Rhinolophus ferrumequinum: one gene and its partners. The protein of the gene in region 1 interacts with the protein of each later gene in a biochemical or structural test. Links are inferred from orthologs where the notes say so. Each region holds a gene or a part of one and is shown in the gene's direction. Other genes may lie near its edges. The genes, in order: CRHR1, MAGI2 and MAGI3.

The links.
Region 2: the proteins of CRHR1 (region 1) and MAGI2 form a complex in vitro, tested with the Homo sapiens proteins (2 studies listed by BioGRID and IntAct, with this or other methods). The link is inferred for Rhinolophus ferrumequinum from reciprocal best matches to the Homo sapiens genes CRHR1 and MAGI2.
Region 3: the proteins of CRHR1 (region 1) and MAGI3 form a complex in vitro, tested with the Homo sapiens proteins (2 studies listed by BioGRID and IntAct, with this or other methods). The link is inferred for Rhinolophus ferrumequinum from reciprocal best matches to the Homo sapiens genes CRHR1 and MAGI3.

The regions. Positions count from the first base shown.
Region 1 is NC_046304.1:40,821,784-40,825,528, forward strand, and holds the start of CRHR1 (corticotropin-releasing factor receptor 1), read left to right. Parts: upstream 1-1,115; 5' UTR 1,116-1,584; coding exon 1,585-1,656; intron 1,657-3,745.
Region 2 is NC_046303.1:44,643,038-44,646,782, forward strand, and holds the start of MAGI2 (membrane-associated guanylate kinase, WW and PDZ domain-containing protein 2), read left to right. Parts: upstream 1-1,289; 5' UTR 1,290-1,766; coding exon 1,767-2,067; intron 2,068-3,745. UniProt on the Homo sapiens protein: Seems to act as a scaffold molecule at synaptic junctions by assembling neurotransmitter receptors and cell adhesion proteins. Plays a role in nerve growth factor (NGF)-induced recruitment of RAPGEF2 to late endosomes and neurite outgrowth.
Region 3 is NC_046305.1:44,417,648-44,421,392, forward strand, and holds the start of MAGI3 (membrane-associated guanylate kinase, WW and PDZ domain-containing protein 3), read left to right. Parts: upstream 1-884; 5' UTR 885-1,392; coding exon 1,393-1,708; intron 1,709-3,745.

The DNA.
Region 1 (3,745 bases):
CCTCCGCGGTGGTCAGATGACGGCTAATCCTGCAAGGCACCCCCGTCTCCCCATCATCTTGGGGTTCCCAGGTTCAGCCCCTTGCCCAAACTGGGCAGGCACTTAGTCTGTAGAATGAATGAATGGATGAAGGAGCGAACGAATGAGTTGAGTGAATGAACGAGAAGGATTCCACCCGCAGAGCTTTCGCGTCTCTGTGAGCACCTGGCGTGTCAGTGCCAAAGGCTCTGGGGGTTCGGCCCAACTCCCCCGCCCTGCTGAAGTGGGAGCCGCAGGAACCTTCTCGTGGCCCGCTTCAGGGCGGGAACGGCCCAAACGCAGTTCCCATTTCTTCACCCGGTTTCCGCCGCGGCTCTGCTCAGTAGGGGCTGCCCTATTCCCCAGCCTCCAACAGTCTTGCTCTCATAGATTCACCTGAGTCCGCCAAGTCTCCCCCAGACTGCCCTGGACTCCCCGGGCCCCGATTTCAAGCCGGGCGAGAGGCCGGAGGCTGCCTCTGCTCCCGTCCCTCGCCCCCCCTCGCTCCCCCCGTCTCCTGCTTCTCCCCCCGGCTGCGGCGGCCGCCACCGCTGCTAGCGCGCGCCCCGCTGACTGCCGCAAACCCTGGAGCTGGGAAAGGGGGTCAGCGCGGCGAGGGTGCGGGAAGCCGGCCGGGGGGAGAGGAGGGGACTGGGAGACAAGGTGGAGGAGGAAGCAGAGGGGCGACGCGCGGAGGAGGGACTGAAGTGGAGGGGAGGGGAGAGAGATTGAGGGGAGGGGACGCCGCGGCGAGGGGGCGGGGAGCCGAGGCGAGTGGCGGCGTGGACCCAGGGGGAGACGGCGGGGGTGAGGCGGCCTCCCGGCGGGCAAGAAGCGGTTGCCAGCGGGGCTGAGTCAGGAAACGGCGGCCGGACTTACCCGGGAAGGGAAGAGCGAGAGCACGCCTGGCGGGGCCGGGCAGCCACAGAGGAGCCCGGCCGCCCATCCCATCCTCCTGAGCCCGCGACCGCCGGCCCGCCCTTTTGGGATGTCCGAGGGACCCAAGCACTCAGGACGGTGACCGAGCGACCCAAGGATGGGACGGCACCCGCAGCTCCGGCTCGTCAAGGTAAGAGCGAGCCGGTAGCTCTCGAGCGCGGGCGCGCTCAGCCCCGGGCCAGCGCGGGACGTGGGTGAGCCGTGTTGCTGGCGGTGCTGGCGGTGGTGGTGGTGTCAGTGGGCAGAGCTGCGCACAGGTCTGGGCGCGGCCGGGGTTTGAGGGGCTGCCCAACTCCCTCTCCCTGGACCTTTGGAGGCGTTGGGTGGGTGGAGGGACAACACAGGTGAAAAAAGAAATCGCGGTGGCGAAGCTGCTGGGATGTTGGCGGAGGAGGGGGTCCGCCCACCCGGGTAACCGGCTCTGTGCAGAGAATCGCTTTAGGCTTTGGGCGTCCAAGCTCCCACCCCTCCCAGGCAGACCCCGGCCCCGGGACAGGGGGCTCTGAAGCTGAGCTCCCTGCCCGTCCCATACCTCTCATCAGCAACCCCTCTCCGCACGCCCCCTCCCTGTTCCTGGGAGCTCCTTCCTGCCCCTTCCCCTGCGCGGAAAGATGCAAGTCCGGGGAGATGAATGTCACCCGCGCCTCGGAGCCCTTGATCAATATCGCAATCTCGGCGGCTGAGACGGTGCATTCGGAGGTGGGTACTGTTCTCGCGCGGCCGCCCGCCCGCCCGCGGGAGCGCAGCGCTCGCTCTCCGAGTCTTTGCACCGGGCGCTGCGCAGTGGGCCGTGAAGGCTCGCGCCTGCCTGGGGTCTGGCAACGCGATTCTGGCGCCCGGAGTTTCGGAAAGTCGCCAGACCTCACGTCCAGCGTCTGCCCGCTGAAGTTCGGGGGCGGCAGGGGGCTGCCCGCGGCGGTGTGGGTCCGGGAAGGGCTGGGGATAGACAGTCCGGCCCGCGGCCACCTAGTGACAGCCTCCACTCCCCAGCGCCCAGCGCTTCCCAAAGCGGTTCGGCTTGCAGGGTGAGGGCACGTAAGCAGCAGACGGAGGGAGAAGGCGGGTGGGCCTACGCGCCGCCGCGGGGGAGCCCGGCCAGGCTCTGGCCAGAGGATCCGGACTCGGCCGGGTTGATATGGACGGCTTGAGTCACAGACGCAGACACCAGCGTGACGGGGTTCAGTGCGTTTAAAAGCGATTTCATTCAGAAGAATTGAGTGGACTGTGGGGAAGGGTGCGGGTTGACTTTTCATTTTCCCATCAGTTATTAAACCAACTGTACGCATACCAACTCACAAAGTGGTTTGAGGTAAACCACCGAGGTTTTAAAACGCAGCTGTTCTCAGTTCATCAGTTGAGAGGTTACCAGTTACCGAGGCTTCTCCGTGTTCTCCCCCCGTGTCCCAGATATTTATAAGTTGTTTTGTGGGTTTTGTTTTTAATGACTGAGGGTTGGTCCGATTGAACCCACATCCCCTTCGCCACCCATTAACTGAGTACTGGGGGTGAACCTAGAGATTATTTTCTGGGTGATCAAGGAGATCTGGAGAGGGAGGTACGAAGAAAAATATCCAGAGAGGATGAATAGATGGCACTGAATGGGAATTTTTTCCAAAAGATTGGTGTGGACTCCCGGCCTTGGTCGAAATTCACAAATCAGTTAGACCGAATTCAGTGTCTTAAATGGATTCAAAGGATTGAACTGTAGACAGATTTTGTTTGTTTGTTTCTTTTTAAGTTTACTTGGTAATAAGTAAATGTTCTTTCTTTTTGGCCTTTCTGAGAATCGTGTGCAAATCACTGCCTAAAATTATCATGTTTTCCTAAAAGAAAAAAATATTTTTTCTGTTGTTGTTGTGTGTGTGTTTTTCCTACTAGATGATGAGGTATGTACCCTTTATGTCTGATCTAATGAACTCAGTAAGTGCTCAGTAAATACCGAACTGAGTGAGAGGCAGTGAGTGAATGGACAGCTAATGCTGGTTTCAGTTAAATAATTCTTTTTTTTCTTTATGCACAACTTGCTGGGTGTTGTTCTACCTGCTTTGCAAATATTACATCATTTAGTCCTCATAACAGCCCTAGGAAGTAGGAATTATTACTGAGGCACAGAGAGGCTAAGTAACTTGTTCAAGGTCACACAGCCAGTAAGTGATGGAGCCAGAATTCAAACCCAGGCACTGTGGCTCTAAGGCTTTGTTTTGTTAGCGTTTACCAGAAAACATTCTAAGCCATTTAACTCTCATCCTAGACCTCTGCCAGATGAGAGTTCAGGTAGTTTTGTCAGTATAAAATTACGAATCTAGGGGAGTTAATCCAAAACCCAGCTCTGTCCCCAGCAAGTCGGCCAGTGTTGGGCAAGAATCCACTCTGCAGCCCTTATTGTGGGCCTTGTACTGCAGAGATTACAGAGAACTGGGGCAGAGTAGGGGTGGGGTGGGGTGGGGAGAGTATGTGGGGAAAATGTGTGTGAGTGTGCATGAGAGAGAAATGTGTGTGCGTGCATGAGAGGGTGGTTGTGTGTGTGAATGCGGGAGAGATGTGTGTGTGCGTGTTTGTGGATGCGAAGGAGGAGATAAGTGAAATATTGCCTCTACACCCAAGGGAGCGGGGTTCCAGCGCATCTGGGTCAACCTACCCACTAGCCACAACTCCCTGAAGGAAGACCCGAGTGTAACTCAACACCGTGGGTTCCGGTGAGTGTGAAGGGTGGAGAAGGCAAGGCCTGGGTGGGTTATTAAAGGAGAGTGAGTTCTGAAGAAGGAGCTGGTTTTCTTGCTGTTATTAT
Region 2 (3,745 bases), on another chromosome or scaffold:
GAGTGGGTGTGCGACTTTTTTTTCCCTTGTCTTAAACATATCCTTTGAAAGTAAGGCAAACGAAATTAATTTACCAATTACAGAGATTTTTAAACCACTCCTAACATCTCACACGACATTTGCGTTGAGTGATAATCAGCATTGCTCCTGCATCCCTGTGCCTCAGTCCTCACCTCTCCTCCTGGCTGCAAACTTGGCGAAGGGAAGGAGCCTGGTGGTGGGCCAGCTACCTGAGTGCCAGCCCCCATTCTGCCGCTACGTTCACCCTCGGAGCCGGCCTTCTTTTCCTTCGCAGTCGGAGGAAGTTGTCGGGTCAGATCACCTTAAGGCTTCTTCCCAAGCTACCAGCCCGAATCTGCGGGCATTGCAGGGTGAGGGCGTGCCCCCGCCGTCTCCGCTGCAGTTCCCCGGTTAAACTGTCCATTTCTCTGGGGAGGCTGCTCACTGCACCCCCCCACTCCACACCCAGCCCCTTTCTTTCCGCTCCTCCCAACCTGGAAACCCGAAGCCCCTTTCCCTTGATCCCGGGAATCGCCTTTCTCCAGACACCTCCTCCCTCAGCCCGACGCGTGGGCTCAGCCTGCCCCGGGCAGGGGATGCTACCTCGCCATCCCCGCTGTCAGGGGGCCCCGCCTGCAGTTCTCTTAACTTTCCGCGCCTCCGATGGGAAGTCTGAGAACTCTGCCACGATCTAACCGAAACCGCATAGAGACTGAGTCTCTCTAAACAGCGAGATCCTGCGCCCCCCGCGGCTCCCAGCGCCGAGGCCTCTCCCGCAGCTCCCCAGCGGGCCCGCAGTCAGCCCTCTCACGGCCGGATTCCGCGCCAGGGGGGCCGGCGGCGCTCCAGCTGTAGCGCCCGCACCGCGGCGCGCTCAACACGCGGTCTCGCTAGTTCTGCTCCAGCCCATCCCGCGTCTGAGGCAGACGGAGCGTCCTCGCAGCGCCGCAGCCCAGCGCACCGCTCGGCCGCCGGCAGTCTGCAGAAAGGTCCGCACTGGGCTCGCAGCCCTGCCTGCCCGTCTTCCCACGCCGGGCCTCGGCTCCCCACCTTTCCCGCTCCCGCCTCCTCTCGCAGGCTGCCAGGCGGACGCAGCCTGCCTCTCTCTCTGCCTTCACTACCGGGTCAAGCTGCGGAGGGAGGGAGGGGAGACAGCGGCGAAGCGGTCCCCCACCCGGCGCGCGCGCGCCCCTCCTCCTCTCAGCCTGCCTCCTCCCCTCCTGCCAGTACTGTACAACTAGTGCACACACACACACACACACACACACACACACACACACACACGGACCCGCCGCTGCCACTGCAGCTGCCATGGGTATCAGCTAACACCACACACCCAGGCGCGCGCGCGCTCCCACTCGCACCACGCAGGAGTGGCCCCCGGCATCCCTACCCTCCTTCCCCACCCCCACTCCACCCGCTCACCAGCTCGGCTACTGCTCGCTCAGGCTGCCGCCGCCGCCGCCACCACCACCACCACCTCCTCAGCTCTCCTCTGCTGCGGGGCCACAGCTTTGAGTGTCATTCAAGGGACAGCACAACCTCACCCAAGCTCTCCTACCTCTGCCCAGCCGTCCCTCTCATCCTCCCCCTTCCTCGTCCATACTCCATCCAAAGAAGAGGGAAAGCACCGAACAGAGGGGGAGGAAGGCAAAGTCTGCTCTTCTCACCTCTTGGCCCCCTTGCTCCTCCATCCTCATTCTCTCATCGCCAATCCCCCTACCCAAAGGAACCCCTCAGGAGCTGAGGCGACTCGCCCCACTGCCATGTCCAAAAGCTTGAAAAAGAAAAGCCACTGGACTAGCAAAGTCCATGAGAGTGTCATTGGCAGGAACCCGGAGGGCCAGCTGGGCTTTGAACTGAAGGGGGGCGCCGAGAATGGACAGTTCCCCTACCTGGGGGAGGTGAAGCCCGGCAAGGTGGCCTATGAGAGCGGCAGCAAGTTGGTGTCGGAGGAACTGCTGCTGGAGGTGAACGAGACCCCCGTGGCGGGGCTCACCATCAGGGACGTGCTGGCCGTGATCAAACACTGCAAGGACCCCCTCCGGCTCAAGTGTGTCAAGCAAGGTGAGCGCAGCGGCTTGCTCCGGGCTTTGCCAGGCAGCTGGACCGCTCGAAGCGCGGGGCAATGGAAGGGTGGGCTCGCTGTGGAAGGGGGTGTGTTGCACGGTGGTGGGGTGAGGTCGAGAGAGTACCGGCAGGGCAAGTGAGCTTTGCGGAGAATCCGAATCGGGGCTAAATGGAAGGGAGGGCAGGATGCGGTGTGGCGTGCAACTTTGTTTGCGCAGTTATACCCTCCCCGTTGGAAGGTGCTCGGCCTTGTCTGACCTCAGAGGTGCAGGCGAGCTCCAGGGGCAAACTGAATGTGCGTCAGTGGCATCGCCCGCAGTGGATGAAGAGCTTTCAGGGACGGACGGAGGAAGGAAGGGAGGGAGGATGGGAGAAAAAGGGAAGAAGGGAAAAAAGAGGGAGGGAGAAATGGAAGGAAGGAGCAACTTGAGGGTGCAGCGGCATCACGAGCAGGGCAGGGCGGAGAGGAGCGGAAGGTGGCTGGGCGAACAGAGAACTACGCCCCCCTCCACCCCCTGATTTGGGGATCTGGACCGCAGACTCCTTGACCCGCAGCCATCTCCTAGGAATCCCTGAGCCACTAGTTGACGAAGAAGAGAAGGGACCGATTGCTTTGAGCGCTTTGACCGGTCTTCCTTAACTTTTCCCTGCTTCACTCCTCTGTCCCCCGCCCCCGTCCACAGTCAATCACGTGAGCACCGCGCGTCACGTGCGCACTGACTAACCCCGGAGCTGGCCCGCTGGAGCAGGCTCTGGAAGAAGGCGCGGCACCGGGAGCGGGTTGTAGGGTCAGGGGTTTGGGAGGAGAGCAATGGCTCCCCGAATGAATGTTCTGTACTCAGTGGTTGCCCTCTTTGAGTGGAAGTTCTCTGTGGTTGGACTCACCTCTGCCTTCCGATGGGGACAGGGGTCAAGTTTCTAAGGAGTTATAGGGAAAAGCTCAGGCCACCTATCAGAGGAGCTTCATTTGAATGCTGTGATGAGGACTTAGGGAGACTGGAATCTTGGCAGAACGCTCCCTAACTCTGTCTTCGCATGAAAGAAAATGATGGTCCTGAAGCAGGGACGAGTGCGAAAACGGTTTCTTGGAAAGAAGACAACTTTAACTAGAATAAAGTAGTGTATCTTTGTTTTCCACACGTGATCGCATCCGTTTACAGATCACCGGCACACTTCATGTGGGGTGGGAGGGTACATATGCGTGTTCACATCAATGCAAAGGTTTGTTGGTGGGGTTCCATTGGTTGTCCCGCCTCAAAGATGGAATTGAGCATGTCATTGCCTGCCTTTTGAACAAGCACTTATCTTACTTCGTGAAAACTGTCAAGAAATACTCTTAGGGAGATGTTCTTCTCTATAAAAATAGGTTTTAAAGGCAAACATGTGGAAAAGATATTTCAGGTGAAATTTCTTGAATGTAAATTGTCATGCAAGAAAACGTTTTCGTTGGGGATTCTTGAGTATTAATAGCTGATGACTTGAGATAGGCTAATTTAAACATTGACTTGGAGGTCAACATTGCTTAATAGTGTATGAAATTGAAGAATATGAGTTAAGTAGGAAGGCAAATAGAGTATTTTGGTATTTTTCAAGGTGATATGCCCAATTGTCAAATATGGGGATTCATGTTAACCTATTTGATGTCATGATACTGTCTTATAGCAATAGATTTAAA
Region 3 (3,745 bases), on another chromosome or scaffold:
CTTGTTTTCTTCATCCTTGAACCCCAGTACCTAGCACAATTTCTGACATAATGTTAGCAGCAGCAGCAGCTACCAAATGGTAAGCATCCACTCCCTGCCAAGCACTGTGCAGGTAAGTACTGCATGTAATCTTCCCGACAACTTGGAGGGACAGAGTCACCTCCACTTATCGGCTAAGGCTGCTGCGGCTCAGAGAGGTGGTCGAATTTGCCTGAGGTCACACAGCATTGTGCAGTACTCTATTTTACCCTCTATCAAATGGACTCTGGAGTCCCAGCCTCAATAACATTTGTTGCATGAATGCACGAACAAGACTCAGTGTAAGTGATCCGCTGTAACAGCTCACCCTGGAGGCCCCGCCACCTCCGGCCAGGGACTCGGCGAGTAGTCTCAGGTCTAAAGTATACTCGTTCCTCTTGGTGCCGCTCCAGGCTCCGCCCCCGACTCCTCTACCCGGCTAGCCAGCCACGCCTCCACCTCGGGGAGTTTGGTCGCTCTTCTGTAACCGAGTTTTCTCTCGGCTCCAGCTGCTGCCGGAGGGCCTCTTTCGGCCCTGAGATCTGGAGCGGGTTCCACTCCCCTGCCCCTCCCCTCGCCCTCGCCCTCCCTCACTCTTCAAACTTCTTTTTTCCACCCTCTTTAAACTTCAGTCATCTTAGTGCCCGCCTCCTCCACTCCCACCAACCAATTGGTGGTTTTCATTCTCGGTGAGGGTCCATCCCCTGCCTGCCGGGGGCCAATCCCCCGCGCAAGAGTCGAGGGCTGGGGCTCGTTCCCAAGCGCCCGGCCTGTGACGGCAGCGCGCCGGGCGCCGCGCGGCGGGAGGGGGCGGGGCTCTGGATGAGGGATGGGCGAGGGCGGGGGGAAGGGAGAGAGGGAGGAGGAGGTTGCGGCGGGTTTGAAAGCGGCAGTTTCCTGGCAGCTGGGGCAGGCGTTGGTCTCCGTGCTCCAGCTTCGCAGCGGCCGCGATCGATCCAGCCACGCGTCTACGCTTGCTTCTGCGCGCCCCCGACGGATTTTTCCCATCCCGGCTCTTCCCCCTTCACCTCCCCGCCCTCCCAGGCTCAGCCTTTCCCGCCGCTCGGGCGCGGAGCCCGGGGGCCAGCAGGCTGCTGTGACCCCGCCCGAAACCCCTCCGGGGCTGCCCAGAGACAATTCCCTTCTCCTTTCTGCAGCCTAACCCGGGGTGGCCCTCGCAGAGCCCAGCCAGTCCCAGGGAGCACAGCCGAGAGGGGCATCCGAGGGGTGTCTCGGGGTGTGGAGTGGCCCGGCCCCCAGTGGGCTGTGGTTGGGGGGGTGCCGGAGCGGCGAGGCCCCCCTCGCCGGGCTGCGCGGGCTCCTGGGGCCCCGCCGCCGGCGCGGGGTCTCCCCCATGGTGCAGCGGGGTTCGGGATGTCGAAGACGCTGAAGAAGAAGAAGCACTGGCTCAGCAAGGTGCAGGAGTGCGCGGTGTCCTGGGCCGGGCCCCCGGGCGACTTGGGCGCGGAGATCCGGGGCGGCGCGGAGCGCGGCGAGTTCCCCTACCTGGGGCGGCTCCGTGAGGAACCGGGCGGGGGCACCTGCTGCATCGTCTCGGGCAAAGCGCCCAGCCCCGGGGATGTGCTGCTGGAGGTGAACGGGACGCCTGTCAGCGGGCTCACCCACCGGGACACCCTGGCTGTCATCCGCCACTTCCGCGAGCCCATCCGTCTCAAGACTGTGAAGCCAGGTACATCGGCCCTGCCTTTCTGTTGTGGGGATTGGGAGAAGTCGGGGTGGGTGTCCTGGGAGCAGCGGCCCCTCCCCACCGTTTATCGTGTGGGGTAATCTTAGACCTCTAGGGTGTGCCGGACTCCCGGGCGAGGGGGAGGGGTGGCAGTAGTGATTCCCATTTTGCCTTTGGGAAAACTGAGCTCTGGCTTGGCAGGGTTGCTCTGGGAGCTGTCAGAATTGCGACCAGAAGCTGGGTTGCCTAAATTTGTAGCTCCGTCTCCTACCACAGAGTTTTTGACTCGAGAGAAAACCAGCTCTTTTCTGCTTTCCTTTGTGGATAAGGTCCTCATGATTGTAACATTGTCTTTGGAACAATCTTACGCGTTTTCCAACAGGGAAAGAGGTCTTTACTACTGAGGCACTTGGTGCCAACGTTACCACCTAGTGTACCTGGGAGGGCTTAGCTGCTTCAGTGTTTCTTGCACACTAGCAACACCTTGGAGCTGACATCGTCACTCTGCCAGCCAGGTGGTTCAGGTGTCTGGGTACTGATGGTGTACAATATGTGACGCGTGGCCGAGTGGTGTGTTCCTGCAGGGAGCTGTTGAATAGTCTGGGGTTCGAAGGGAAGACCTAGGTGCTTCGCTGAGGAAAATCTTTTGTAAATCTTTGGTTTTACAGAAATTTGTTGAAGTGGGCAAAAAAAGAGTCCCTGTTGCCCTGTTGTCTCGTATGATAGTAAAATCTGCTGGAAAGCACGTTTCGCATATGGCATTCATGCCAGTTTCAAAGCACTGATCAGACTGAACAGCGAAATCTGATAGTATATAATAGACTTGACGTATTTGTAATCGACGACAGTGCTGGTCGGTTTCAGCGTTTCAACGGTGGTAGAATGTGGTTCTGTTTTCTGAGATGTTTGTAGGAGAGAGAATTATGACTACAATGTTATTAATAATCAAACTATTTTTGCTGAATGTGCTCTACTGAATATACAATGCATCAAAATATAATGAGCTGCTTAATTGTGATGGGGTAGAAAAATCAATCCATCCCTTCACTGCAAAAGGCTAGAAAATTCTGGGAAAAAATTTGACGTTATCTCCCTCGCTTTTTTTTTCTTTCTTTCTCAGTAGCTCACTTTGGAAATACCTCTTTTATAGTCCTTTGGGCTTAATAGGAACTGATGGTTTGTGGTGCATTATACCTATGTGTGTGTATTGTGGGTGTATACACGTACACACACACACACACACTCACATGTTCTTGCAATCTTCAATTAAGATTTTTCTCAGATGCTCTATTCCATCATACTCATTTTAAGCTTATGGGTTTATGTGAAGTTTTCTTTTTGTTGTTGCTAATTAAAAATATAACAACTTTGGCAGACTTTGAACATCTTTTCCAGTTTGTGAATTCAGAAATTCTTAACTCAAAGTTTTAGAGCCATATGTGAAGAGTGGAGGAAAGACTTTGGAACTGTATGTAGTTCAGCCAGTCAGGCACTGTCTGTAAAATGCAGAATCTTAAATACACACACACACACACACACACACACACACACACGCAACTTACTGGTCTAGGTGCCATTTAGTTCAAATTCCATGAGTCGAGGAATAATGAGAAAATCTGCATAATTGCTTTGTGTTTTGTTTTGGTTAGTTGGGGCATAGATAACTGTATTTTCAAAACTAGTTTAAAACTTGATTGAAGAGGAAGTTGATAGAAGACTGGGGAGATGTATCATTAATATTGGTCTGATCTGCATATTATACGTCTTCTCACCCTTTGTACCAAATTTAAGAAAATAATTCAGAGTGTATTTACTAATATTAATTGTGTTGAATAAACATCAGATGTTCCAGAATGGAGTTGACATTTTTATAGTAATAAAATTTTACCTTCTTGACAACTGCTGGTACTGTCCTATTTTAAATATTTAGCCAAAATAAAGGGAATAATTTATATTAATAGGTGTGGCATGTTTTGTAATCATAAATAATAAAAGTTAAATACTACACTTTTTAAAGATATACTCTGCTTTAGTAACTTC